7 linked regions of the Nothobranchius furzeri genome follow. The protein of the gene in region 1 purifies or fractionates together with the protein of each later gene. This does not show direct contact. Links are inferred from orthologs where the notes say so. Each region holds a gene or a part of one and is shown in the gene's direction. Other genes may lie near its edges.

Region 1 (3,982 bases):
AAGATAGTCTCTGGGCATCTTTCTTCTCCACATAATATAAACTTTTCTTGAACAGTTCCAAATCCTTTTTCCGTCCGCTTACATGAGGCTTAACCTTGAGGAATTTACATCTGTGTATAAAAGGTTTTCCCAGCTAAATCAAAACATTTACCAAGAAATCTTGATGTTTGTCTTTCAAAAACAACCCCACTTATAGCAACCAGTTTAACGGACTTACTGTGACATGCTTAGACAACAACCAAGTGTGAACAGAACACCAGAAATATTTGAAGAAGAAGAAAAGAAGAAGAAAATATCATTTCTATAGCGCCTCTCAAGATAAAAATCACGAGGCGCTTCACAAAAACAAAAACAAAAATATAAAAATTGTAAAAATATAAAAAAGCATTTCGAAAATGTTTAAAATATATTTAAAATGAGCAAGATGTTGCGATTTAAAAGAAAAAATGTTAAGAAAGAGAGAGAGTGAATAGGAAAGGGGGAAATCAGTGGATCCTGAGGAAGGTGGAATAGGTGGGGAGAGCAGAATAAAGAGAGAGAGGTGAAGAAGGTCATACAAAAGCCAGCTTGAACAAGTGAGTCTTCAGCTGCTTTTTAAAGGAGACCACTGAGTCCACTGATCTCAGGCTCAGGGGGAGAGAGGTCCAGAGTCTGGGGGCCACAGCAGCAGATGATCTGTCACCTTTGACCTTTAGCCTGGTGCTGCACAACCAGTAGGCTTTGATCACTGGACCTCAGGGACCTGCTGGGGGTGTAGGGACTAAGAAGATCACCAATGTAAGATGGTGTTTGTCCATGTAAGGCCCTATAGACCAGAACCAGGATCTTGACACACTCACATTAAATTAAAAAAAATATGTTCTACATTTTCAATATTATTTTCACAAAAACCACATGAATTATTCATCCAGTTAAATCTAACATGTAGAAAGTTATTTGGATAATATCATTTAAAATTTTGAATGTTACTCGACGCAAAACTTTGTTGAGTATAATTCCGTTTCGTATTAGAACATTTACAGGTATGTATAAATGTGGATAAATAGGTCAAGAAAAACGTGTTTAAATCAATTATTGTTTTAAAAAATGTAAGATAGCACAAAAAGAGCGTAAGCATAAGTGAAAAGTTATTCGGATATTCGTTAAAATTGTAATAAATAGGACATCCGCTCATTAAAAGTGGGTCCTAATAAGCACCGCCCCCCTGCTCATATCCGGTGTGACACATCCGGTGAAACACCGGGGCGCTAATCGTAGTGTGTGTTCAGGTGTGACCAGAAAAGGTGAGTTTTTCCTTCATTTAACTTAGTTTGAAACAAGTTTATTTATCAGTAACGCGACATGGGAGCAGATGAATGTGTTTTTTATGTAAAAGCGATGCTTGTTTGACTAGAACTTCGTCAGAAAGGGATCTGTTAGCCACCGAGCTAGCTGATGCTAACATGTTTTCAAACTGAAAAATCTTAAATTAAAAACTTAATTTTCATCAGCCTGATCCCACGCTGTTAAAAACCGGTGTTTTTATTTTTAGACATTCATATACATTTATTAACATTCGCGTATAGTTGAGTTTAGGATAATTTTGGTATTTAAACAAGAGATTTTGAGTTCAAAAAGTTGAAGTAAAATCTAATTGTACTTCGAAATCCCCCAGATTACCGAAATTTGATACCAGCCCGTCCCATTGATCAACTGTTATTATTGTTATTATTATTATTATGGGTTCTCCTGTTTTCAGACACTTATCATGGACATCCGGCCAAATCACACGATTTACATCAATAACATCAATGACAAGGTGAAGAAGGAAGGTGAGTTGAGCTGATTTTACATTAATTTACATTTATGGAGCACCTCTCTAGACACGAGTATTAAAGTTTTGCACAGAGAACATCACAATATAAACATACCAAGCAAAAACAACAATTTTAAGGCTTAAATCCTTTTAAAAAGATACGTTTGTAAAAGAATAAAAGTTCAAGTCAGTCAACATGTTGCTGCTTAAACACCAAGTTAACTGATAAACTGTGTTTTTCTTTTTTCAGCTTCATTTTAATTTTTAAATGAAATCATACAGGCTGAACTGGAAAATAGTCTTCTGTTTCCTAAGTTAGCTGCCAACAGATCAGAGACGGGGAAACGTTGGGATTCCAAAGCCCAGACAGACCCAGGTCACACTGAAAATTAACATTCATGGATTCACCCATCTTGGCACATCTCTTGTCTCCTTCCTCCCGTAGAGCTGAAGCGTTCTCTCTACGCGCTCTTCTCCCAGTTTGGTCAGATCGTTGATATCGTAGCCATGAAGACGGAGAAGATGAGGGGTCAGGCCTTCGTCATTTTCAAAGAGCTCACCGCTGCCACCAACGCCTTGAGGCAACTACAGGGCTTCCCCTTCTATAACAAACCCATGGTACGCAGACTGTCATCTTTTCCAGTTTTTGATCTGCTCTGTAGTCAGACTGTAAAATAACAACCTCCCAGTTAACCACACACACACACATGATACACATAGCACATGCATCCAATGCACCATACTAGTTGTTAGTTGTGTGCAATATTATTTGAGTGTTTCTGGTTTAGCGTGAATTTTTTTCCCATTACTGGTGAAGCGTGCCGTGTTGGTGCGGTTTAATGTCTTTATTGTACTTTAGTGTTCTGTAAACTCGCTGCTCCTACCTTTTGACTGTCCTCTTTCTGTCGTGACAAAAGCAAAATTCCCACATGAGAACATTAACAGTTTGCCTAACCTAACCCACCGGCAGCTTGGCTTTGTCTCAGGAGCAGAGGGGGTTGTGGGCCCTCTCAGAGCTGCAGGTCTGACTCGGGTCTTGTGTTTTCTCAGAGGATCCAGTACGCTAAGACCGACTCGGAGGTCATCTCCAAGATGAAGGGCACGTTTAGTGACAAGGAGAAAAAGAAGGAGAAGAAGAAGAAGGCTCAGGAGCAGGCGGCAAATGCCGCTAAGAAACCATCGGCGGTGAGTGTTGCTTCTGCTTCGTGTGACTTCTCTGACCCAGACCCGACTCTTCTGGGTTGAGGTTATTTTAAAGGTTCTGGCCCTGTTGGTCCAAACCCTGCTGACCAGCATCAGAACACCAAAATGTTGTGTAAAGGTTTATGATTCACTTGTGTTCCTTTGCAGGTTTCAGTTGTGCCTGTCCAGACGCCTGCTGCTCAGGTGAGAAAACCCACATCTTTACAATACCTGTGAGCTTTCAAACCTTTTATTTATTTATTTATTTTCTTCTCAGGTTCCAGACAATCCCCCGAACCACATCCTGTTCCTCACCAACCTTCCAGAAGAGACCAATGAGATGATGCTCTCCATGCTCTTTAACCAGTGAGTCCAACATGACCTCCTCCATCCAGAACCTCAGCCACCTGAAACCAGCTGAGTCGTTTTAGTTCCAAAAGTCAGAATTCTTTTGTTTCTGCGACTCGCAGCAGAATCAGAACCTGAATCGAACCAGCAGAGTGGGGAGGGCGCTCAGGATTTGTCATGGGGGTGAGCTAGAGGAGATCTGTATGAGAAACAACAATGACGGTGATGGTTTTTGTCAGACTGAACCCAGAAACGGCTCTGGGCAGCGTGGCGGAGAACTATGGAGCAACTGCTGACTCCTGGAGTTGTGTTTTTGGCTCCGTACCCTTACCCCGGCTTTCCACAGGAGCCGTCAGCAGCACGTTACTGCAGCAGCACGTCATAGCTGCTGATAGGAACCGCTGTGGTCAACAGAACCTTTTCCACCGGAGCCGTCGGCAGCGCGAGTCGGCCGCGTGTCAGGAGCAGCATGTCGCGGCCTTTACGCGCCGGTTCTATTTTCTACGCGCGACGCCTCTGAAACGGGTCAAGTTCGACATTTTTGGGGAAGGAAAGACAGGAAATCGGACGCGGAAACGGAGAGAAGCTCCAGAGATTTTCAGAATAAAGAACGTACTGCCTTCCGGTCGCTTTACTTTATAAAACGTTACTGTGTGG
Region 2 (4,190 bases), on another chromosome or scaffold:
ATCTTCTGGTTGCCACTGGTCCTGGTGGTTTTCTTCCAGTTCGACGAGTTTTCTTTTGGAAGGCTGGCTGACTCCAGTTAAAAACCGCCACATTTCACCGCTAGTTTTAACACGAAGCTAACGGCTAACTTGATAAACTGATTGAATGGGATAGGTGGAAATGACGTTGGATGCGGCGTTCACGTTTCGCGTACGTTTGTGTACGTTGCATGCAGGCGGGAGGAGGATCAGAAATCCATGGAAGATGACTGATAAACATAACTAATTTGGTGCAAACATTTACTCGCCAGGTGGCAGGTAGAGCTCAAAAATTTACTCGCCAAATGGAGCAATTTGCTCGCATTTGGCGAGTGGCGAGTGTTAATTTCAGACCCTGAGTAGACGGCTGTTTTCAGTAGGGAGGAGAGACTGCTACCACCAAAACAGCTCTCCTAATGTCTGAAAGAAGCTCCTTCATGAAGGGAGAAACGCTCCCGGTGATGTTCTACATCTGCGGTAGAGACGGAGCAGCGCATCTGACCCCGGAAGTTGTTGTCCGTTGCCGGGAGACGAAGGCGGGCAAAACAGGAAAGGAATCTAGTAGCGGACGGACGTTGTTCCGGGTCTTCGGTATTTGGCGGAGATGTTAGTGAAGGCGAACTAGAGGAAACACAGGCAGATTCCTCCTCTACTTACTAACTCCTGGGGATGCAACAAGTGGGCGCGGTGCGTCGACTACCGGATCTGACGTTGGCGTCATCGAAGCTTTGCTACAGCTCTGGTTTTCAGTCACTCAGGAAGGTGCATTTGTGTGTATTTTCTCCAGCAGACTAACCTTCATGGTGATGAGCTAGTATTGTTTTTATGGGATGTCTGAAACTGAACACCGAGCTGAGAACCTGGTCGTGCGGACGTGACGGTCCTACCGGGCGGTGTACGACCATAACTGATGTGATCTTAAACACGGCCAGGTTGATGGGCCTTGTAGAGATAATCCCACTACGAGTTAAAGAGTTGTGACCAGGTGAAGTGCTGCTCTGCTTCAGTCTGAGTCTCTGCTTATGTTTCAGGGCTTTGATGAATACATGAACCTGGTTCTAGATGACTCTGAAGAAATCCACATGAAGACCAAGAACAGAAAGCCACTGGGTAAGAGTGCATGCTGACTAGGGCTAAACTGATTTAAGAGAAGGTTGAATTATGACTTCAGTTTGATTCTCCATTTTCTTCACATCAAACAGGCAGTTCTCCTGCATTACTTAACCTAAGCAGGTGCCTGATGGTTTCTTCTCACAAAAGCAGCGCTAGAACACCAAACTCACACATTTGACATGTTTCTTTGGGAAAAAGATCAAAGGCTGGAGAAGATTTGCAGCCGGGTATTGAGAAAAATATTCCACCATCATTGAATAAGAAAATCCCGTAAAACACTCTAAAAAGGTGGAAGGACTGACTCGAGCTCCTGATTAGCAAGGAAAGACAACAACAGCTTCAGAAAACAAACAAGCAGCAGGAGGAATGTAAGGAGCTCTAATCAGGCAACTTGGTGCTGACAAGAAGAAGTCAGGCTCTGAGGAAACGTTGGAAAACCAACTTTTGGAGGCAACCCCTCTGGAAGTGAAGAGGTAGAAGCACCTCTAAACAAGGAGAATGACGTGCTTTCACCAGGGAAAAGGCTCCCAAAGCTCCAGTAGGGCTTCAGGAAACATGAAGCTTTTACACAGCCATGGTCGTCAGACTCTGATGATGAAGCTGAAGAGATTTTGTTAGGAAGTATATCATCGTTTTGTCTAAGTGTGTGTGGGGAAAAATGCCAACAACGTTAGGAAAAATCAGTTAAATCAAATAAAAATAAAATGTTCTAGTATCTCATATTTCCTAGTTCCTACTGCATGAGTTCAGATGCATTAGTTCATGCACTTAAACATTAATGTTCTGATTTTACTGAACAACGTGTTCTGTAATAGTTCCTTTACTATTGTGATCAAACATATTTAATCTCAGTTCTGAGGCTGCTCTGTAAATAGTTTTCAAATAAACAATACACACATATCAACTTCTGATCAATCCATATCAATTTCAGATGTAAAATAATGTATTGATGTAAACCACACCCACTCATTTCCTAATAATAAATAAGGTGCATTCATCTGTGTATCTGATCCACATTAGTGATGTTTTCAGCACCAGAACAATGAAGCAAAGAAACAGATTCCTGAGTTTATGTTAGTAATTTTATTTATTAGGTGCATCTGACCTGTTCTAGTTTTCTCTGAAATGAGATCAGACCAGTACTTCTATGGGTCGTCTCCTCTCTGCACTGGAAACATGTACTTTATTATAATGTTCACTGTAATGCATCTTGATGTTCTTAACAATAAATTAAATCAAAGATATTGGTCAATAATGCTAAATATGTACATTTGTGTTTCAGTCATTTTTATACTGGCTTAAAAATACTTCATTAAGTCTACTAAGCAGGGGTGTAGAAGGTGTTTAACAGGGCCAGCCCACCAATGGTCTTGGACCAAAATAAAGGGGGGCAGAAGGAGATGTTTTTCCAGACGCCAAGTAAAATTAAATGCCCCCCCCCCCTGCAAAGTGTGTCACTGAGAGTTTAAAACAGAAATTATTCTTGTGCAAATGTTGGTGTATTCACCTTTAATACTAGTTATTAAAATGCAGCAGTCGCTGGATTGGTGCAGTTCAGAGTGGAGGGCATCAAATAAAACAATATTAACATGAAGGTGAGACGTGTCATAACCCCCCACCCCCCCCCCCCCCCCCACACACACACACAGCTGGAAATAATCCTACTGCATCATCAACGTAACATGATTTACAGAATACATGTGACTTAACATTTCGCATTCTACCACCGGATGTTTGGATCAGAATATGAACCAATCAGATCTTAGATCAGGTGAGAGCCAGGCGTTTCCGTCCTCTAGGTTTTGCAGCTGATGGAGACCAACTGCAGCGCCTTGCTTCAAAATCTGCAGCCGCCTTGATCTCACGAGGTTATCGCTGCCTACGTAGGCATGACGTCAGAGCAAGTCGGCGTCAAATCGGACAACCGGCAAGCACTGCTCGCTGATCACCGGTGATCTAATCTGCGCAGAACTGGCTCATCTCGAACAAGACCAATGTAACACATGTGACAGCCCCATCTAGTGGACAACTTTGGTCTCTGCACACACCTGTAGTTATCGTCCATTTATCGTTATCGAGGTGAAATCCTCAATGTATCGTGATATTAATTTTAGGCCATATCACCAGCCCTATTGTGTGTGTGTGTGTGTGTGTGTGTATGAGGAACACCCTCTGTAAAGCTGCTCCTGCTGGGTCCAGCAGGGCGGCCCGTTGAGCGGCTTGCTGCCACCCTGTGATTGTACTGAGGCTCTAGAATTCCTGGTGTTGGGGATTCCATGTTGATTTGTGTAAACGGACACTTTGTCTCTCGTTTTGTGAACTGACCTGTCTGCTTCTGCGTCTGTTTGTGTCTCAGGGAGGATCATGTTGAAGGGAGACAACATCACCCTGCTGCAGAGTGTGTCCAACTAGAGACGTGGAGATGCCAGTGACTCTTTTTTTTTTTTTTTCCGAGCAAATGTTTTTCCATTTTGGGGCTATTTGGGTTCTAATTACATGGATATTTTAATTGTTCCTCAACCATATTGAACAGTTTTGAAAATAAAGTGTTTTCTTTCAGTTTGTGTTGCTGTCTAAGTGTAAGAAGGTCTCTGAGCGACACTTCCAGCTGGTGACGGTGTGACGGAGCACTGCTCCACGTACACAGGTGCACATGTTAGTAAATGAATAAATGAAGCAGAACTCGGGCTCGTAGCTGAAGGCAGACTCGGTGAAGGGAGTTGTTTCAGCGGGATGACGTAATACCTCAGTACGTACGCAGCGTGCCCCTGTTCAGTTGACTGGGAAACCCCGAGCGCGAAGCTGCCAACGCCCGGCGGAGCAACTCACCTAAGTCCCACGGTAGGTTCGTTAATTTTGTCTGGTTTGTGCGGGTTTAACGTGACGGTGTTCGTGGTTTGGTCTGGCGCGTGTCTCATGTTTGTGTTCTGTATGAGCAACTGGGATGGATTCCCTCATTCAGCCATGACATCCGTTAGGAGTGGCTGAGCCATTTTAGCCCGCCAGCTAATGGAGGAGGATGGTATATTTAGCCTGCAGCTCACAGCGGCAGCATTATC
Region 3 (4,232 bases), on another chromosome or scaffold:
TCCAAACGCAGATTTAAGGCTCACCTCGCTGCGCAGGCTGGGGGGAATCTGGCTCGGAGCTGCGGATGATTATTCAGGCTCTCGGCGCGCAGCCACGCTGTCTGAATTTCAATGTGAGCGCGTGATTCGCACGCGCACACGCGCTCTGGGTGCACAAAGGCTGAGATCACAGAGGAGGAGGAGGAGAGGCTGCAGAAAAATGCGCTTAGAGTCGAGCAGCTGCAGGAGGCTGCTGCCTCCCAACGGAACCAGGCACGAGACGTCCAACTCGGGAGGAGGACCACTGAAGTGCTGCTCAGAACCAGCAGGCAGGAGGAGAAGGAGGAGGTATCTTCCCCCCACCCCTGAAGGAATAGTTTCTGCAACTTCCGGTTTTTCCTTTTCACAATTAAACAATCCCACGTCTTTCACAATACATACATCTATGACAACCCCCCCCCCCCCCCAAAAAAAAATGCAGTAATATTCTAAAATGTCAGGGTGCTTGAATTCCCCTGTCAAAATATATTGAAAAAGATCAGACTAATTATTCTACAAATAATAATGAACTATATACAAAACAAACAGGCCTCCCAGCTAACAGAGCAGTGGTTTCCAGATGTGTCGGTGTGATTCATTGAACAACCAAACCAAACCAAAGTTTTTACCCTCACCAAAACAAAAATAGGTCTACCAGTATGGTTATTCTATTTTGGGTTGACATAGTCAAATACTTTATTAATAATTATTCTTTATTTTTATCTGACTTTTGTAGATTATCTCAAGTCCCTAACTGAGGAGTTTTGTGACCCCCAGTGGGGTCACAACCCCAACTTGTTTTCTAACACAAATAAGTTGCCTCTACGTTTGAACATCTTTTCTCTGGTGACAAATGCATCTTCCCACTGATGGGATGAGAAAATGTTCGCCTGACCTCCATCTTTCCTAATCTGCTATTTAGCAGCATGCAGCTTCTCATAATCCATGTCATGTTTTTAAATGAGAAGTGGTTCTCAGCAGTTCACCTGGATAAATAAATGTAAATAAATAAATACCGGTACATAAAATAATTACTAACGACATGAAATGTGTTTTCTTCATGTTATCTAAATATGATATTATTACTGTAATAACTTGAAGATTAATCAAATGTAGAATTGTGATAAGTATTTATTCATGTGAAAAGAATGACAAAAATATATTGTATTTTTAGATATAAAAATCACGTTATAACTTAAACAGATATTGTTTGAGCCTTTTCCTTCACGGCGTTATGCTATATTTTATTATCGCTTGAGTGTGTAGCAAAACAGTTGATTTATTTTATTGTCTAAACTTATAAAGCGATATCAAGTGTTTTGTTGACATCTGCTGGACAGCATGCGCTACTACACTTTATTTCTATCAGGCATTGCTAAGGTCACCTATGAAACCCGCTTCACGGTTAAAGAAGGACCCACACAAACGGAAGCCCTACGTAGGCTTGCTGTCCTGAAGCAACAGAGAAATATTCGAGCCGATGAGTTTCAATCCACCAGAAATCACAATCATCTAATTAAATAACCCGGTAAATTTTTTATTTTTCAAAATTTAAACAAGTATTAGTCTGAATAGGAACGATATGTTTGTGAACTATGAAAGGCTTTTTAGTAGGATAGCAGGAAAACAAAAGCGGATGCTGCTGGCAAGAAGTGGCGCTTCGTATGAAAACCTTGTGGATTTACCGTGAGCAGGCCGAGTTTATCCGAAAATAACCTATATACAGCTACGGAAACCGTTTATGGGGATAAGTTACATCCTGAGAGGTTTCGGTGAGCCCGGAGGAGTTGCAAACTGGTAAACATTCACGTCGTGCAGTAAATTGCTAAAGTCTGCTCATTCAGCGGCTGGGAGGAAAAGCTAAAGAGCGTCTTGGATGGATTGGGGTCCACAGAAGTCCGGGTACCAGCTCCAGCTGTAATCAGTTTAACTCGTACGGGTCTGATCTGGACTAAAACGCACGTTGGATTGTGAAAATAATTATTGAAATGTCTTCTGTCTGAATAGAAAAGGTCAAACTACATCTGGTAAAGGTGGTGCCAACAGTTATCTGGCCCTTTTATGCGTTCCCTTTAGGAAGGTTTTATAAATAGTTGAAAGAACTAGTTTAAGTTGGTTTGATATACTACATGAGTGGAAATCACTTCAGCTTCTGCATTTAACTAAATTCCCATAGGCAGTTCATTATTTAGAGTGTATTTGTTGAAAAAGAAGCTGTTGGCCTGAGTCATCTAGTATGTGAATCAGTTGACTGTAGAAGTTTGAGCTTTCGCATTTAACCACCTGTTTGCAGTTGTGAGCCGGGCTGAGCTGCTCCGGAACAACCCTGAAAGGGAACCATGTTTCTCTACAACATCACCCTGCAGCGTGCCACTGGCATCACTCACGCCATCCATGGAAACTTCTCAGGTGAGCTTCCTCCGGATTTTTTTTTAACTTTGTATCTTTTGTTTGATTATCCAAGTGCGGGCTTCAATAAAACAGTTATGTTTTATTTCAGTGTAGGACCAACGCTGTGTGACACAGCCTGTGCAGACCAAACGTTTTACTTTTCTATATTCAAACAATTTTAACCCTATAAAGCTCGAATCATGTTAATTAAATGTTTGCGTGTAGGAACCAAGCTGCAGGAGATTGCTGTTTCCAGAGGAAAGATCCTGGAGTTATTGCGGCCGGATGCTAACACGGGAAAGGTGCACACACTCCTCACAATGGAGGTGTTCGGCATCATCAGATCCTTGATGGCGTTCCGACTCACCGGAGGAACTAAAGGTACACATCAGACTGGAAACAATAAAAATGTGTGTCATGTATTTATAAATATTTTACAAACATCAAGACATTATGACTGTATATCATATTTATAACATGAAGTACAGTTTAAAATAACAGTAACTAAAATAATATTACAATTAGGGCTGCAGCTATTGAATATTTTTGTAATCGAGTACTCTATCAAATCTTTTATCGATTAATCGAGTACTCTAATAAATGGCCCTTTTGTGTTTGTAAACCATTATATCAAATAGCATGTTATAAAATATGAAAGACCTCTTAAAATAAGCAAGCAATTGCCAGTTATTCCTCAAGTTTTATTCAAAATTAGTTTTCAAAACTTCATCACTTCAGCTTTACTTCACAGTAAACAAATGCCTGTGCAAAAAATAAGTATGCACAGTGTTTCCCCTAGGAATTTTTCCAGGGGGGGGGGGGGCTTGGCGAGAAATTATGACACGTCTCTAAATAAAGTGAAATTTTCTAGTGCAGAGTGGAGACAACCCATAGAAGCACTAATTTGATCTCATTTCAGAGAAATATAGAACAGGTCAGATGCACCTAATAAATAAAATTACTAACAAACTCAGGAATCTGTTTCTTTGCTTCACTGTTCTGCTGCTGAGAATATCACTAATGCGGATCAAAGGAGATACACAGATGAATGCACCTCTTGTTTATTATTTGGAGACTACATTTACTGCAGCTGGCAGAGGCAGAGATTTTTTCTATTGATACACGGAATTTACAGAATCATTTTAAATGTTAATAGGGGAAGACTGCAGGAGGGAGCGGTAAAATACAGGGGGTCCCCAGCAAAAACAAGAAACTTTACGAGTCTGATGAAACCCGCTGGTTTTCCATCAGGCAGTCACGGGGCAGCTCCAACGACCCAGTGGCTGTGCTGGGTCAATGTTATCGAGCTCAGTCCGGCTCGGTCGTGAACGAGCCGAGGCGACGTCGTGCTCTGCTTAAGAAGAGGTGTTATTTTCCCGCTTCAGAAGAAGCGTCCAACGTGTTTTTACGCTTTCTCCGAGACATGTCACGTCGCTAAGTTGTTAGCGCCGCACGCTAACACGTCAATAGTGCAGCGTAGCCTGCTGGAGGTTTTAAGGGTTCAGATGAAAACACCCGACCTCTCAGGCTGCTCACACATCGATCTTAAGTTGTCGCTGTTGCGCTCACACCGTAATATTAGATGCGGTTAAAGTCAGACATGAAAAAATACATGAATAAGTGATGCTTAGCCTGGTGGGGGGAGGAAAATCTGGCCTAGTAAGCACTGGAGGAAACCCTGTCAAGATCGTCAACACTCATTTATCTTAATGCTGTTGAAACATGTAAACCAAAAAGCATTACATCCACTGCTACCTTTCTAATTTTAAACTCAGTAACTTATGCTGTAACTTCACCTTGTCCTGCCTGCTCCTCCTTGCTGC
Region 4 (3,500 bases), on another chromosome or scaffold:
TGACCGAGCTATAAATCACCGTCATTCGTGTGTGTGTGAAAGTGAAATGATAGTGCGCCCGCCCCCCGGCGCGCGCGCGCCCGGTACATGCAATTTTTTATGCTTGATTTTAAACAACTAAACAAAATGGGGACTTGTTTCTTATTTGTTAGATGCTGCAGCTAAATTTGCATTTAAAAGTTTAACCTTCTCCTGAATTTTGTTGTTTTTAAGTTCAGTCGGACTCCGACTGTCGGACAAACAAACGTTACTGCGATCTGTGTTGTTACTGCCCTTTGAGCTGCATTCAGTAAAGCGTTATAAAAGAAGGCACGGCAATTTTTAACCTTTTTTAAATGTGTAAACATTATGTTTAGATAGTACTGCAATAAAAAAAGGACTGCAATAATATCGCATACCGCAATATTAAGCCACCCTGAATCACCGCAGGGGGAATTCCTCAACCGCGACAGCCCTAGCCTGGTTGATGCTTCTCCGTCAGCGCCGCAAGGGACAGACACGCACGGATTGATGGAAGCTTTTTGCTTTCATACTTCTCCGTCTCCTGGAGAGTGTTGCAAAGCAATTCCCTGCCAGGACAACAGAGGGCGTAGCGCTGTTCTGTGGTATCCTGTCATGTATTGGTCCAAGATCGTGTGTTTATATTGTGTTTTTTGTGTATATAAGAGACTTTTAACACGGACATATTTGTCTGTCATTCTCCCACCGCTTCATGCGCTGCCCACCTCTAAACCCACGTTTCCTGTCATTTCCGTCCACAAATAAAACGCTTGCTGCGCATCTTTTCACTCCTCCAATCACGGGAGAATGAAACGTTCATATTTTTAGTTTTTTTTGCGAGGTCTTCTTCAAGCTTCTCCGTGTCTGCCGCTAGTTATCCTCGGCTCTCTTTGCAATGGCGGCGCTGTAAACAACAGCGGCGTCCTGACCAATCACAAGCTTGCGTAATCCGTCTCGTTCGACAGATGTTTTAAAAAGTGGGCTCGACTCCGTACGTACTTGCGTGTCTGCCGGAGCCCTACGCAAGGACGGATAATGGCGTCGCGTGTCTCCGCACTGACGCAGACGGAGAAGCATAAATCAGGCTTTAGTTGTGAGCTTTCCTTTGTAGTTTCTCAACACTGAATGTATTTTCCTTATTGCAGGTGATCTTCAGCAAGTACACCGACCTGCTTCCCAAAGAGATCCTTCATGAAGATGCACAAGGCCTGCAGAAGCCAGACGAGGAGGCTGTTCAAGAGGTACGATGTCATACAACATGTTAGAAGATGCAGCTCTGTTTTTCTATCCTTCATTTATTACTAATGCATTAATGCTACCTTTAAATAATCAAAGGCGAGCTTTAACTCAGCTGTTATTTCTTATTTGGAGTAATCCTTTTATTTGCAACCCAGAATCTTACAGGCTGTTTGAACCATTGAATCCTTTATCTGCAAGTTTTATTTCATCTCACTGGCAAACCGCTGCTGTGTCTTGTTTGTTTTATTCTCATTAGTAATCATGATAAACTGGATAAATGTTCCTGTTCCTCCTCTGTAGCTGACGGAGAAAACTCGTGCCGCCCTGGAGAAGCAAGTGTCTCAGAAGATCGCAGCTGCCATGCCCGTCAGAGCCGCAGACAAACAAGCTCCTGCACAATACATCAGGTGTGTAGTGAAGCTGAACATGTGTGTGTGTGTGTGTGTGTGTTAGGAACAGTTCTATTGACATTAGTCATGTGCTATTGTTGTCTTCTTCAGATACACTCCTTCCCAGCAGGGGGTGGCTTTTAATTCAGGAGCCAAGCAGCGAGTTATCCGTATGGTGGAGATGCAGAAAGATCCGATGGAGCCTCCTCGTTTTAAGTAAGTCAGACGGTTTGAAATGGTGATCTACTTTTTGTTCTGTGTTGATTTAAGTTGGGCAGCAAATGTCGTCTAAAGGAAATATATTTCAGTTTGGAGTTGTCACAAAAAAACATTTAATGAGTGGGGAAGGAGCCTGAGTTGGTGTGTGAGGATGAGAGGTTCCGACTAGATATAGTCGGACTCACCTCAACGCATGGCTCTGGCTCTGGAACTAGTTTCCCTGAGAGGGGTTGGACGTTCTACCACTCTGGAGTTGCTCCCACTGAGAGGCGCCGAGCAGAGGTGGGCATACTAGTTGCCCCCCATCTTGGTGCCTGTACGTTGGGGTTTACCCCGGTGAATGAGAGGGTAGCCTCCCTCCGCCTACGTGTGGGGGGACGGGTTCTGGCTTTGGTCTGTGCTCATGCACCAAACTACAGTTCAGACTACCCACCCTTTTTGGAGACCTTGGAGGGGGTGCTGGAAAGCGCTCCTTCCGGTGACTCCCTCGTTCTGGTGGGGGACTTTAACGCTCACGTGGGCAACGACAGTGAGACCTGGAGAGGTGTGGTTGGGAGGAACGGCCCCCCCGATCTGAATTTGAGTGGTGTTTTGTTATTGGACTTCTGTGCCAGTCATGGATTGTCCATAATGAACACCATGTTCAGACGTAAAGGTGTCCATATGTGCTCCTGGCACCAGGATACCTTAGGCCGCAGCTCGATGATCGACTTTGTTGTTGTTTCATCTGACCTGCGGCCGCACGTCTTGGACACTCGGGTGAAGAGGGGGCGGAGCTGTCAACTGACCACCACCTGGTGGTGAGTTGGCTCAGATGGTGGGGGAGGATGCCGGTCAGACCAGACCGGCCCAAAAGTATCGCGAGGGTCTGCTGGGATTGTCTTCAATTCCCACCTCCAACAGAACTTCCAAAATGTTCCGGGGGAAGCGGGGGACATTGAGTCTGAATGGACCCTGTTCCGAGCCTCCATTGTTGAGGCGGCCGACCGGAGCTGTGGTCGCAGGATCGTCGGTGCCTGTCGTGATGGCAACCCCCGAACCCGCTGGTGGACACCGGCGGTTAGGGATGCTGTCAAGCTGAAGAAAGAGTCCTATCAGGTCTTTTTGGCATGTGGCACTCCAGAGGAAGCTGACGGGTACCGGCAGTCCTAGCGGAACGCGGCTAGCATGTCTGTAGAAATTCACACAAGACTTTAAACTTGCTTCTTCAACTTTCCTGATCCAAGCCGTGTTTCTCTGTAGTTCTGCATCGTCTGGTTGACATCCCTGGATTGTTGAATTAACTTGAGTGTTTGTGCGTTTCAGAATCAATAAGAAGATTCCTCGAGGACCCCCTTCCCCTCCCGCCCCGGTCATGCACTCTCCAAGCAGAAAGGTCAGCTAAAACGTTGGAAGCCCTCTGGTTGTTGATGCTACATAGCAAATGAAGATGAGCTAGCTATGGCTGCTTCTGATGGAGTTTCTTACTTTGTTGTAGATGACGGTCAAAGAGCAGCAGGAGTGGAAGATTCCTCCGTGTATTTCCAACTGGAAGAACGCTAAGGTGAGCAGACTCACCGGGAACATTGGTTGGTTTAGTCTGAATACAGCTGTGGGTAGATTTCAAGTCCTTTGATGTGCTCTTGTTCAGGGTTACACCATCCCCCTTGATAA
Region 5 (4,254 bases), on another chromosome or scaffold:
AAGTCTTCCTGATTGGGGAACATGCATTGCCACATTAAACAAGAGAGCGCCAAACACCCAGTCACTATTTCTAGATTCAAACGTCTTTTGTTTACCATGATTTCCAATGGTGGAGCATTAAATGAGCATTATGCATGGATAAAAGCACTATAAATCTGACCATGTGTTATGTAGCACCTACGCTGTGGGCGAAGAGATTTTGGGGTGACATCATATATGCAACATCTGATTTGTAGTCTGTTTTAATTACAAATTTTTACAAGCTAATACATCTCAAAATATTTGAAAGACACAGAAACACACATAAATACTTTTCATTTGAATTGAAGTACAAAAATGTGCATTTCAGGGCGTAAGGCAAAGCAGATTAGAAAATAGATTTTATAGCCTTGTTCACTTGTATTCGTTTTTTTCTATGCTCCGGGGACCTATGAGCTGACCGAAAGGGGAGGAGAGGCAGTTTGCTCACCAGCACTTGGGCACCAGGTTCGTGTCTTCTTGACAAAGTATTGCTCAAGTGCATGCACAATACGACAATTAAAACTCCACATCTAATGCGCACAGCTGAGATTTAAGCCAGCAACCTTCTTGGTGCAAGATGACCATTAAGAAAAAAAGCTGTACTTTGATTACATTTTACTTTTAAATTTTGTAATTCGTGAACCAAATTTCAAAAATGAAACTAAAAAGTTTCGCTTTTGTTAATAAATTCTCTTGTGCCAACACTGACATCCCGTGGCCACATGAACCAACTTCCAGCACACGTTTTTTAGTTGGGCATGGGTTTTAAATGACGTACACCCATCTGGGGAATTCTTACGACAGAGATGTGGTTTCGAAACAAATAAGTGTGTATGGTGTGATGATAAAGAAACCTCTGTTCATTTATTATTTTACTGCATTTTCTCTGAAGCTCTCTGGAATGATATCCATGACTGGCTATACACAAAGATACCTATTGAACCCTTTTCTGAGAACGATGTCATTTACGGTGCCATATTAGATAACACTGAATGGGACTTTCTGGTAAATAACATAATCGTTGTAGCTAAATTTTACATTCACAAATGTAGATATGGAAATGTGAAGCCAGATTCTATGCATTTCATAACGAGTGTCTTTCTTTCTCCAAAGCCCTTAAGTTTATGAAAAGTAAACATGCAATGAAACTCCTTAATCTTTTTGAAAAGTATGATTTGAAAACAAAGCCCTAGCTCTTTGTCTCTTTTTTATTTATTTATTTTTTTCTGTTTGTTCGTTTCGTTCACAAATATTCTTGCGTTCTATGCAAAGTCTCTTTTGTTATTTTTTGCACCTGATCCCGGGTAATGTAAAACAAAGGAATTTATGCCATGTTAATTGTAAATGAAAAAGTTCAATTTAAAAGAATTTTTTTTTTAACGTTGTGGCACGTTTCCCACAATGCATTGGTCCAATCTTCTTCTCACTCTCGCGTTGTTTCCGCTGCCGCCGTTGTTCCATTGAGAGAAGCTCAACATGGCATCCGACGGAGTAACGGGTAGCGATTCTCTTTCGCCTGATTTAGGAGGTGCAATCGCAGCTTTAAACACATGGAGCAATCCGGAGCTTCAAGCCAAGCTGGCTGACCTGGGCGCACCAAATATGGGTAAGAAATACTTGGAGGGCACTCATCGAACAATGAATTTAGCTACCAGGTATTAGCCTTCCGTTAACTTTAGCTAGCAGTTTGGTAACGCATTATTAAAGTAGGCCAACTACAGACTCTACGTGTGTTTACATTCACTAGAGCACAACATAGTGAATCTACCTGCGTGATTTGTGACGTTTAAAGCAACAGCTAAACGTTTGATTGGTTTGGGTCTTCTATTTAAACGTATTTATCTTACGTTTAGCTTATTTTGCTAACTTTGAGCGTAAGTCTTTGCATTTACGCAGTGTAGCGTTCTGTTTGTATCTTATTGAATCAGTAAAACTTCGAATTTGTCTTGCGCTCCTGGAATCACTTCCTTGTTGTCTAACAGTTATTTTCTCTCATCCAGGTCCCAGAGAGGAGCTGATTGACAGACTGAAGGGCTACATGATGCAGGTAAACGCTTTAGAAATGTGATTCTGGTTTTTCCACTTCCTCATCACGATTTGTTTCCTAAAGAAACTTGTTTTAGTACTAATTTATCTACTGGATCTGCCCGTTTGTTTTTGTCCTACAGACAGGAATTATCCTCAGCAAACCAAATGAAGACAACCCAATGGGCGTCCAGGTAAGGACTGATCAGATTGTTGTGACGTCACTGTTTAATGTACTGATACACTTTTCTGTTGGTCTTAGAGTTTTTTTTCATAAATGTCTTCTTGTGTTATCACAATATTTCTGGCAACCATCAAAAAACGCAGTAAATAAAACCAAGAGTCGCCATGGTGATCACTGCACTGTATAGATTTTAACAACACAGGTGGATGAGAGACTAGATTTAATTGTTTAACCACATTATCACAAAACAAACAAATGAAACTTGTGAAAACTGAGGTTCAGTTAAGCTCATGGCTCAGTGGGTGTTTGCCTTTAATTTACTTCCTTCTTCCTCCAGATGCCAGGGTTACCTTCTCTTCCCCCATTACCCATGCCTCCAATGCCCCCTGGCATCGGAATGCTCCAGCCTATGGGCATGATGCCCGCTGGAGGTCCTCCTCCTCCTGGTTTACCCTTAGGAATGGAGCACGGACCCCTGCTGCCTCCAGCGCTGACGCAGGACGACCAGCTGAAGATGGCTCAGCACAGGGCGGCCATGGTTCTCCAACAGGAGGAACGAGCCAAACAGGTGAAGCCCTCAGACCATCATGTTCCGTTGTTGGTTTAGAACACTACACGCTAAGAATATTATGCATTTGGGAGATTGTGGGACGCTGAAACAACAAAATATAAATCAGAAATAGTTTTTTAATTGGGTTAGTTGAGGCAAAATCCTGTTGTGAATTGTGGATTTTTGCTCATTCTGGTTACAACAAGAGGTGAACAGGACCTTCTAGAGCAGCAGAAAAGGCAAAGATGTTCCGTTTAATATTTAGGGGAGCTGAAGGCCCCGTTTGCTCTAACAGAATGAACCTTTCACTTTGCAAAGTGATGATTTTAAGAGCCTTTTCCCCACCTAGTGGCCAAGTTAGATATACATCTGCTTCTTGTCTAATTGCAGGTAATCGGCTGAATAGAAGCCAACAATCCAGAGCAGAGCTTTAACTAAACTCAGGGGTTTATCTTTAATCTGCACTTCCTACATGTTCACCTTGTATTTATGTCTCCCCGTCTGCGTGTGCCAGGCTGCTGTGCTGCTGGAACAGGAGCGTCAGCAGGAGATGGCCAAGCTGCAGCCCAGGTCTTTGCCCATTGGTCAGTCTAATGTGTTATTTCAAATAAAAACACATAACTTCATGTAAGTCCAGTTTCTACAGCAATGACCACTTTTTCAAAACTCTTTTTCAGTTTCTATCTTGGATCCTCGTGGGCCGCTTCCTCCTGGTGTCACGTTGTTGCCCTCCCAGAAACAGAGGGTGCCCCCCCCTCCAGGAGAAGACAAAGAGGTAAACAGACTGAAACGGAGTTTCTCCTGTTGCACATGGAAGTCCTACGCTCTTAAACACGAGATTTTATCGTCATGCTGCTTTTAGGGATGGGTACCGAATTCGGTACTTTTTAAGGTACCGACCAAATTCCATAGTACCGACCGAGCACCGATTCACTTAATTTGAAACGGTGTCTCGTTTCGGTACCCGTCCTTCACAACGAGAACTTGCCTAGACAGCTGCGCATGCGCAAGAGCGTTAAGTCATCGGTCGCTGCGAGCCAGTTGTAAACAGAGCAGCATGGTAGAACGAACGAACGCTTAAGCTTGGGTCCACTTCACTAAATGCGACGGGTGACTGGGTGAAGATGAAACCAGCGACAACGATCTAAGTGTGAGGCATCATCGTTTTAATCTGCTCCAGCAGTTAAATAAACTGTTTAAGATAACGTTAGCTTGATATGTTAGCTTCCATTGCCACCGTTGTTATCAGCTAATGGTGCGTTCGCTTTCTCCTCAGAAATTCTAACTTCCCAGTAGGAAAAATCAATTGAAAAAGGACGGTAAAAGGAATGAAGATACACAGTAAATTTAGTTCACAGTAAAGATGTTTGCTTCAGTTTAATCATCAGCTTATAAAACTACAAGGACGACGTTAAAATACAAACAGTTGTATGTTATTTATCGTGATATTTATCAAATATGGTTATATATTGAG
Region 6 (4,259 bases), on another chromosome or scaffold:
CAGTTTGATTTATTTGACATCTGTATAATGTTTATTATTTTGTTTTTTCCCCCTAAATGCCTAACGTTTCAGTTTAACATGAATATTAGTCATTCATCACAATACATAAAGTTACACATTTTAAATTTTAATAGGGGAAGACTGCAGGAGGGAGCGGTAAAATACAGAAATCCCCAGCAAAAACAAGAAACTTTACGAGTCTGATGAAACCCGCTGGAGTTCCTTCAGCAGGCCTGGTGGCAGCTACAACGACCCAGTGGCTGTGCTTGGTCAATGTTATCGAGCTCAGTCCGGCTCGGCCGTGAACGAGCCGAGGCGACATCCTGCTCTGCTTAAGAAGAGGTGTTATTTTCCGCTTCAGAAGAAGCGTCCGTGTTTTACGCTTTCTCAGAGACATGTCACGTTGCTAAGTTGTTAGCGCCGCGCGCTAACACGTCAATAGTGCAGCATAGCCTGCTGGAGGGTTCAGATGAAAACACCCTACCACTCAGGCTGCTTACACATCGATATTAAGTTGTCGCTGTTGCGCTCACGCCGTAATACAGTATTAGATGCGGTTAAAGTCAGACATGAAAAACTCCACGAGCGGTCAGACCGCGCAGCAGCTAGGCGCAGCAAATAGGCGCCGGATCGTCCAGGCTGCCCGGCCTGACCGCTGGGGATTACCGGATGGAAGAATGGACACAGAAGTCTCCCTCTTAGCGCTCCGTCATATTTCAACCCATTTTTATCTTAAATGCACTGGGTTTTACCCTATTACCCATCTAAATATGCCCTATTAATTATTTTACCGTATTTTACATTTAAATTTCATGGTTAAACAGTACATGCTACATGTTAAACTGATAGTTAGCTAGCTACTTCGGTAAACTCAGCTAGTTTAAAGGTAGCAGTGACATAAAATACGAATATAGATTTTAACTTACCGAAAAAAATGAAGTGGAGACTCCTTGGACGCTCTATTAGTGCAATTAATACCACTGCAAGTCATTTTGTCCAACAATTGCACCAATAATATCCAAAGAAGAATACACAAACACAGAGACTCAAAATGCCGGAGCAGTTTCCAAGCCAGACCGAGGCTGTACTGAGGCCTTTCCACGGAGCTAGCTCTGTGGTCACGTGGGTCTGAGGCGGCGGTCACGTGTGTTGGATGCTCATTAATTATACAGAATTTTAGGCTTTCAATACACTTAAACAGAAGAGTGAGAAAAAAATTCACCCCCCTCAGAGTTGTCATGAGTATAAACTAGATAATTTAGACAAAAAACATGTTTTGGCACCAGGCTGTAAACATGTTTATTTCTGCTGTGAAATCGGCATTTTTAACATGGGAGTCAATGAGGATTTGCTCGCTTCTGGCACCAGCCCCCAGCGGATGAGGGTGGAACTGCAATTTTTCTTACTTCCGGGATGGGACCATTTTCTGAGCGGCATTGTGGGGGCTTGGTTGCCACCCATGGCCTTTTGTTGGAATTATTTCGTTTTGGGTGGTAAAAGGCCGCAACAGAATCATTTGCATATCTTCACTGACCCCCGCATTTCCTGCACATCACAAGATGAAGTTTGGGAACAGAGAGAACAAGCTCAGAGACCTTTATGCTGACGTGTTCTAAACAGGAAATGCAGCACTGACGAGGATTAATAAAGCAACCAACGCTGTTTCTAATAAAGGCAAGTAAAACATGTCAGCTCAGTTTTTTCAACAATAAGGTTTTTATTTAGTCAGTTGCATCCACGTTGATCTGGTTTTTTACATGAAACTCCAAGGAATAAAACTGGCTTCATGTCTGCAGAGGTGCAGGTTCCTATTCAGACACATACATTACAAATGAGTTATAATAATCCCAACGGTGCATGATCTACTTCACATGAAACTCCTTTGTGTACATCCATACCCTGCAGGCATTTTGCTGAGCTCTTGTTTTCAATTTCTCAAGACTTTTGTGCAGAGTAGCATTTTCCTGTTCCATCACTTTTATACGAATTCTGTTTGCTTGAAGCTGTTGCTCCATATCCAAAATCAAGTTTCCTGTACCTAGAATGTAAATAAAGTCATGTGCTATTATTATACTGGAAATAAATCTAATCAAATATAATCAGATAATGTTATTCAGTAGCAACCTACTCTGAGGTTGGGCCTGGGACCAGTTGTTGAGCTCTGGGAAAGCCACCAGCAGTCTCTCCCTCTCCTTTAAAGAGTCCACACGCCTTGTCAGGTCAGCCACTTGCTTTTTCAACTCATCCGCATTTACTTCTAATGTCTGCTTCTCCTTCTGGAGCTCCTCACACAAATTCTGATGGAAGAACAAGAACAAAACAGACTTTATTATAACTAAGGCCATTTACAGTACAATTGTATTGCATTTTAGGCCACATATATACCTGCTGCTGCATGAGCTGAGCCTGCTGTTCCTCCACCTTTGACATCTGATTGTGTAAGGTGATCCGTTCCTCCTCTTTCTCTCCTAGCTCCCTCTGCAGCTCTTCGCACTCTTCATCGAGAGCATCAACTCTTTCCAGCAACGACTTTTGCTTTGCCAGCATTGACTGGATACACAATTATATTGAAAACAGTGTGAAGGATCCCCTTTATAGCTATGCTGGCCTTTACAGTGACACTGACCTCCTGCTGACGACAGGCGCTCCTGTACTTGGCCTTCTCCTTGTCAAGAAGAAATGTAGCATCAGAAACTTGAGTTTCTAGCTGTTGGATCTGTTCCTGCAGTCTGCAGCAGGCCTCTTTCTCTGTTTGCAGGTTCTTCACTTTCTCATGGAGTGCTTTCTTTTCAGTTTCTACCAGCAAATGAATCGTCATTATGCAGCATCATACTGTAGATGTGTTGAATGACAGAATCTGCATCTCATTACCAAGCACTTGTAAGCTGTCATGTTGCAGTGCTATTTTCTCCTTTAGTCTGTTATTAGTCTCCTCCAGGGACATATTTTCTGTCACAAAAATGTGAAAAATATTTATAGTAAAAACTATGATGTCAATACATTCTTGTTATAAAACCGATTGTGTTAACTACCTCTCTTCAGCTGTTGTTGCTCCTTTTGTAGCCTTTGCTCTGTTTCTTTTGAGGATCTCTGTGCTTTCCGTAGAGAAAACTCCAGCTGGACAGAGTTTATTTGGTGTTTTTCCAGCTCTTGCTTGAATTGTTTCTGTGCACTTTCCAGCTCAGATTTGAAACTGTCACGTTCCATTTCAGCTACGGCAATTCTTTCTTCAAGAGGCTGCACAGTACCCTGGACATCCTTAAGATGTTTGGTCAGCCGGCTCGTGTCCCGGAGCTGCTCTTCGGCCCACTGGGCTACATCGCCTGATGTCATGTCACCCACAATGTCCTCCATAGCTGCTGCGAGAGGCTGCAGAGATGAGGGCAAACCCTCACTCTGTAACAGATCTATCAATGCATCTCCCGTGTTTCTCAAAAGGGACTGCACCTGATGGCAAGCGCTGCAGGGAATAAGGGACGAACTTGTTGTCTGGCAGCTCACATGATGCTGCTCAGCTTTAGGATAGCATGGAGTGTTGTTAGTTTGTGGGACAAAATCAAATGAGCTTGCTGAAGACAAGGCAGATGCACAAAAGCTACTAAGTTCAGTCTTCGAGCTAGTTATAGCAGGGTTGGACAGCACCATATTTGTGTTGTTGGAGTCAAATGGCTTTGTATCTTTAAAGGGCTCCTGTGAAAAAGAAAGCATAAAAGTATCCAGATCTTTCATTTAAAATGCAATTTTTAGAGTATTTTGTATTTTCTAACATTAATACTACCTTTTTGTTGGCTGATAGGAGTAAATTCCCACAGTAGTTCTTGACCACGAGTCCAACTGACAAGTATGTTGTCTGCTGGGTTTGCTCTCCTCTCTGTCTGCCTCTCGGCACCTCATTGTAAACACTAACACTTTGTAGAAGTAGCAATAATCTTTTTAGAAAAGGAGAAAGGCAAATGTTAATAGAATTACTTTGGTAACAATGCATAACATATAAAACACATTTTATTACCTGTCAATCACTAATTCCAGTAAAACAATGTGGGAGTGCTGATTGAAGGCATCCTCTCCGTCTACATAGTCGTACTCCTCCAGCAGAGCCAACATGTCCACATTACAGGAGAGTTTGTCAGGGAACTTCCAAGAGGTAAAGCTGACCGGTCCTGTTCTGGAAAAGACGTCCACGATGGCTGCTTGGATGTCCGCCAGATCTTTTTGGAGGCTTTTGATGCAGTCTTGACTACCTAACAGCTCACTCATGA
Region 7 (2,210 bases), on another chromosome or scaffold:
TATTTCTGGAGTTTGAGCGGGTCGAGTCGGCCATCAAAGGTCAGTGTTCACCGTCACATATAAGAGATCAACTTTACATAATTGCTTCACTTTCTTCCCATGATTGTGTAGCTGCTCTAATAATGTGGGTGAAAGTGTGTCCCTCTCTAAATGAGTTGGCCCAGATCTGAAACAAGGGGAGACTCGGTTCCCTGTGGTGTTATGTCATATGTGGCCTAGCAACCCAGTCGTCTCCCCACGGCACCAACAGAACCGGTCTTACATCACAGCTTACTGAAAGCAGGGCGCACCGTTAAAGAACCTGTCATGCTACAAGATTGGTTTTGTCAACAAAAAGGGTTACTAAGTGGAGAAATCTCTTAATGCATGCTAGGATCATGGCGGTAATAGAATCTTCAACTTATTTTACCACTTGGTTCTTTTGTTTTCATTCCCCACTTAAGTCTCAGGTTTATTCCTTCTGTCTAGTCTAACCCACGCTTACAGTTCAGTTTGTATTATTGTCATCGGTTATCAAAGCTGAGGTCAGGTCCCCACTAGGGGTCATGAAACACAGGATTGGGGATGGGTACCGAGATGATCTGACATCGAATGACCCTAAAATCACTGCCGATGGCGTATTTAGCCTTAATGTTAGTCAGTAGAACAGAGAAGTGTAATTGTTGACAAGTCTTTTGTTAAACTACTTTTCATGTGTTTGTAGATTTAATCCAGTAATAATTGGGTCCTGGATCTTTATGGCTATGTTTTATCGTCTTCGTCTTCATCTTCCTCCGCTTATCCGGGTCCGGGTCGCGGGGGCAGCATCCCAATTAGGGAGCTCCAGGCCGTCCTCTCCCCGGCCTTGTCCACCAGCTCCTCCGGCAGGACCCCAAGGCGTTCCCGGACCAGATTGGAGATGTAACCTCTCCAACGTGTCCTGGGTCGACCCGGGGGCCTTCTGCCGGCAGGACATGCCCGAAACACCTCCCCGGGGAGGCGTCCAGGAGGCATCCTGACCAGATGCCCAAACCACCTCAACTGGCTCCTTTCGATCCGGAGGAGCAGCGGTTCTACTCCGAGTCCCTCCCGAATGTCCGAGCTCCTCACCCTATCTCTAAGGCTGAGCCCGGCCACCCTACGGAGGAAACTCATTTTGGCCGCTTGTATCCGCGATCTCGTTCTTTCGGTCATTACCCAAAGCTCATGACCATAGGTGAGGATTGGGACGTAGATCGACCGGTAAATCGAGAGCCTGGCTTTCTGGCTCAGCTCCCTCTTCCCCACGACAGATCGGCTCAGCGTCCGCATGACTGCAGACGCCGAACCAATCCGCCTGTCGATCTCCCGATCCCTCCTACCCTCACTCGTGAACAAGACCCGAGATACTTAAACTCCTCTATGTTTTATTCTTTTTTAAATCTGAAATTATTGTGGCTTCTCTCATGTAGTCTGATGTTACATCTGTGTCCTCTGCAGCTGTTGTGGATCTAAATGGACGTTATTTTGGAGGACGAGTCGTCAAGGCCTGCTTCTACAATCTAGACAAGTTTCGGGTTTTGGATCTTGGTGAGCAGGTCTGATGTTTCCCTAAGAACATCGGCTTGTGCTGTCCTCAGCTTCTCATGTGTACAAAATTGTCTGTTTCTATATTTTCCAAACATTAGTGTCTGTTGAGTCTTTTTTGTTAAATACCTCCATGTTGAGAGAAAATAAAAGGTGTAAGTTGTACCTTGTGTTGTGCCTGTGTTATTCATCAGTGTTTTATTCTGAAACAAAAACCAGACTTGTCATGTAAACATCCTCTAAGACAGAAGCTCCCACTTTCCAAGAAACTCAGTTTCCCTGTTTGAATTTTGTTACATAATGCTCTTTCTGTGATTGTTTCAATATGTCTCCAGGGTGTGAGTCCCAACTTAGCTCTGCTGGAATATAGGAAGGGGACTAGGACAGTGAGCCTCAGCCTCATTCAAACCTTATGTAAGGGACCCTGGGGGTTCTCCTCAACAGCGCCGTCCCACCGGAACACTTTAATTCAGATCATCGAAACAGGTTGATTGTTGAAGCTGGAATGTGAAGAAATAGATCAAAGTCATGACAGAAAAACCAAAACGTAAAAGTTTGGCTAAATCAGACTAGTCAGTTTATCTCTCCAGGCTGTTGTCAGTGACTCGATCCAATCTGCTGGGTTCCCTACGAAAGAAACGTTTTACTGATTGGCTTAATCACCT

The links.
Region 2: the proteins of snrpb2 (region 1) and snrpe purify together in Homo sapiens (affinity purification with mass spectrometry; 3 studies listed by BioGRID and IntAct, counting the BioPlex papers as one, with this or other methods). This does not show direct contact. The link is inferred for Nothobranchius furzeri from reciprocal best matches to the Homo sapiens genes SNRPB2 and SNRPE.
Region 3: the proteins of snrpb2 (region 1) and sf3b3 purify together in Homo sapiens (affinity purification with mass spectrometry; 4 studies listed by BioGRID and IntAct, with this or other methods). This does not show direct contact. The link is inferred for Nothobranchius furzeri from reciprocal best matches to the Homo sapiens genes SNRPB2 and SF3B3.
Region 4: the proteins of snrpb2 (region 1) and snw1 purify together in Homo sapiens (affinity purification with mass spectrometry; 3 studies listed by BioGRID and IntAct, with this or other methods). This does not show direct contact. The link is inferred for Nothobranchius furzeri from reciprocal best matches to the Homo sapiens genes SNRPB2 and SNW1.
Region 5: the proteins of snrpb2 (region 1) and sf3b2 purify together in Homo sapiens (affinity purification with mass spectrometry; 4 studies listed by BioGRID and IntAct, with this or other methods). This does not show direct contact. The link is inferred for Nothobranchius furzeri from reciprocal best matches to the Homo sapiens genes SNRPB2 and SF3B2.
Region 6: the proteins of snrpb2 (region 1) and sf3a1 purify together in Homo sapiens (affinity purification with mass spectrometry; 5 studies listed by BioGRID and IntAct, with this or other methods). This does not show direct contact. The link is inferred for Nothobranchius furzeri from reciprocal best matches to the Homo sapiens genes SNRPB2 and SF3A1.
Region 7: the proteins of snrpb2 (region 1) and rbm17 purify together in Homo sapiens (affinity purification with mass spectrometry; 3 studies listed by BioGRID and IntAct, with this or other methods). This does not show direct contact. The link is inferred for Nothobranchius furzeri from reciprocal best matches to the Homo sapiens genes SNRPB2 and RBM17.

The regions. Positions count from the first base shown.
Region 1 is NC_091746.1:29,739,999-29,743,980, reverse strand, and holds the start of snrpb2 (U2 small nuclear ribonucleoprotein B''), read left to right. Parts: upstream 1-1,182; 5' UTR 1,183-1,283; intron 1,284-1,738; 5' UTR 1,739-1,747; coding exon 1,748-1,811; intron 1,812-2,240; coding exon 2,241-2,413; intron 2,414-2,845; coding exon 2,846-2,980; intron 2,981-3,145; coding exon 3,146-3,181; intron 3,182-3,254; coding exon 3,255-3,343; intron 3,344-3,982. UniProt on the Homo sapiens protein: Involved in pre-mRNA splicing as component of the spliceosome. Associated with sn-RNP U2, where it contributes to the binding of stem loop IV of U2 snRNA.
Region 2 is NC_091743.1:2,213,663-2,217,852, forward strand, and holds the end of snrpe (small nuclear ribonucleoprotein E), read left to right. Parts: intron 1-1,049; coding exon 1,050-1,128; intron 1,129-3,487; coding exon 3,488-3,543; 3' UTR 3,544-3,690; downstream 3,691-4,190. UniProt on the Homo sapiens protein: Plays a role in pre-mRNA splicing as a core component of the spliceosomal U1, U2, U4 and U5 small nuclear ribonucleoproteins (snRNPs), the building blocks of the spliceosome.
Region 3 is NC_091744.1:81,791,440-81,795,671, reverse strand, and holds the start of sf3b3 (splicing factor 3B subunit 3), read left to right. Parts: upstream 1-1,432; 5' UTR 1,433-1,546; intron 1,547-2,311; 5' UTR 2,312-2,357; coding exon 2,358-2,427; intron 2,428-2,634; coding exon 2,635-2,790; intron 2,791-4,232. UniProt on the Homo sapiens protein: Component of the 17S U2 SnRNP complex of the spliceosome, a large ribonucleoprotein complex that removes introns from transcribed pre-mRNAs.
Region 4 is NC_091742.1:20,654,240-20,657,739, forward strand, and holds part of snw1 (SNW domain-containing protein 1), read left to right. Parts: intron 1-1,145; coding exon 1,146-1,241; intron 1,242-1,539; coding exon 1,540-1,646; intron 1,647-1,739; coding exon 1,740-1,844; intron 1,845-3,152; coding exon 3,153-3,222; intron 3,223-3,324; coding exon 3,325-3,390; intron 3,391-3,477; coding exon 3,478-3,500. UniProt on the Homo sapiens protein: Involved in pre-mRNA splicing as component of the spliceosome. As a component of the minor spliceosome, involved in the splicing of U12-type introns in pre-mRNAs.
Region 5 is NC_091742.1:75,394,453-75,398,706, reverse strand, and holds the start of sf3b2 (splicing factor 3B subunit 2), read left to right. Parts: upstream 1-1,454; 5' UTR 1,455-1,497; coding exon 1,498-1,627; intron 1,628-2,021; coding exon 2,022-2,068; intron 2,069-2,189; coding exon 2,190-2,240; intron 2,241-2,567; coding exon 2,568-2,798; intron 2,799-3,294; coding exon 3,295-3,364; intron 3,365-3,457; coding exon 3,458-3,555; intron 3,556-4,254. UniProt on the Homo sapiens protein: Component of the 17S U2 SnRNP complex of the spliceosome, a large ribonucleoprotein complex that removes introns from transcribed pre-mRNAs.
Region 6 is NC_091757.1:36,509,305-36,513,563, forward strand, and holds the start of sf3a1 (splicing factor 3A subunit 1), read left to right. Parts: upstream 1-1,459; 5' UTR 1,460-1,674; intron 1,675-1,693; exon of another isoform or gene 1,694-1,784; coding exon of another isoform or gene 1,785-1,808; exon of another isoform or gene 1,809-1,862; coding exon of another isoform or gene 1,863-2,038; intron 2,039-2,128; coding exon of another isoform or gene 2,129-2,297; intron 2,298-2,385; coding exon of another isoform or gene 2,386-2,550; intron 2,551-2,626; coding exon of another isoform or gene 2,627-2,796; intron 2,797-2,871; coding exon of another isoform or gene 2,872-2,949; intron 2,950-3,032; coding exon of another isoform or gene 3,033-3,690; intron 3,691-3,778; coding exon of another isoform or gene 3,779-3,929; intron 3,930-4,009; coding exon of another isoform or gene 4,010-4,257; exon of another isoform or gene 4,258-4,259. Other genes in the region: ccdc157 (coiled-coil domain-containing protein 157), read right to left, coding at 1,863-2,038, 2,129-2,297, 2,386-2,550, 2,627-2,796, 2,872-2,949, 3,033-3,690, 3,779-3,929, 4,010-4,257. UniProt on the Homo sapiens protein: Component of the 17S U2 SnRNP complex of the spliceosome, a large ribonucleoprotein complex that removes introns from transcribed pre-mRNAs.
Region 7 is NC_091741.1:60,738,436-60,740,645, reverse strand, and holds the end of rbm17 (splicing factor 45), read left to right. Parts: coding exon 1-39; intron 40-1,458; coding exon 1,459-1,562; 3' UTR 1,563-1,710; downstream 1,711-2,210. UniProt on the Homo sapiens protein: Splice factor that binds to the single-stranded 3'AG at the exon/intron border and promotes its utilization in the second catalytic step. Involved in the regulation of alternative splicing and the utilization of cryptic splice sites.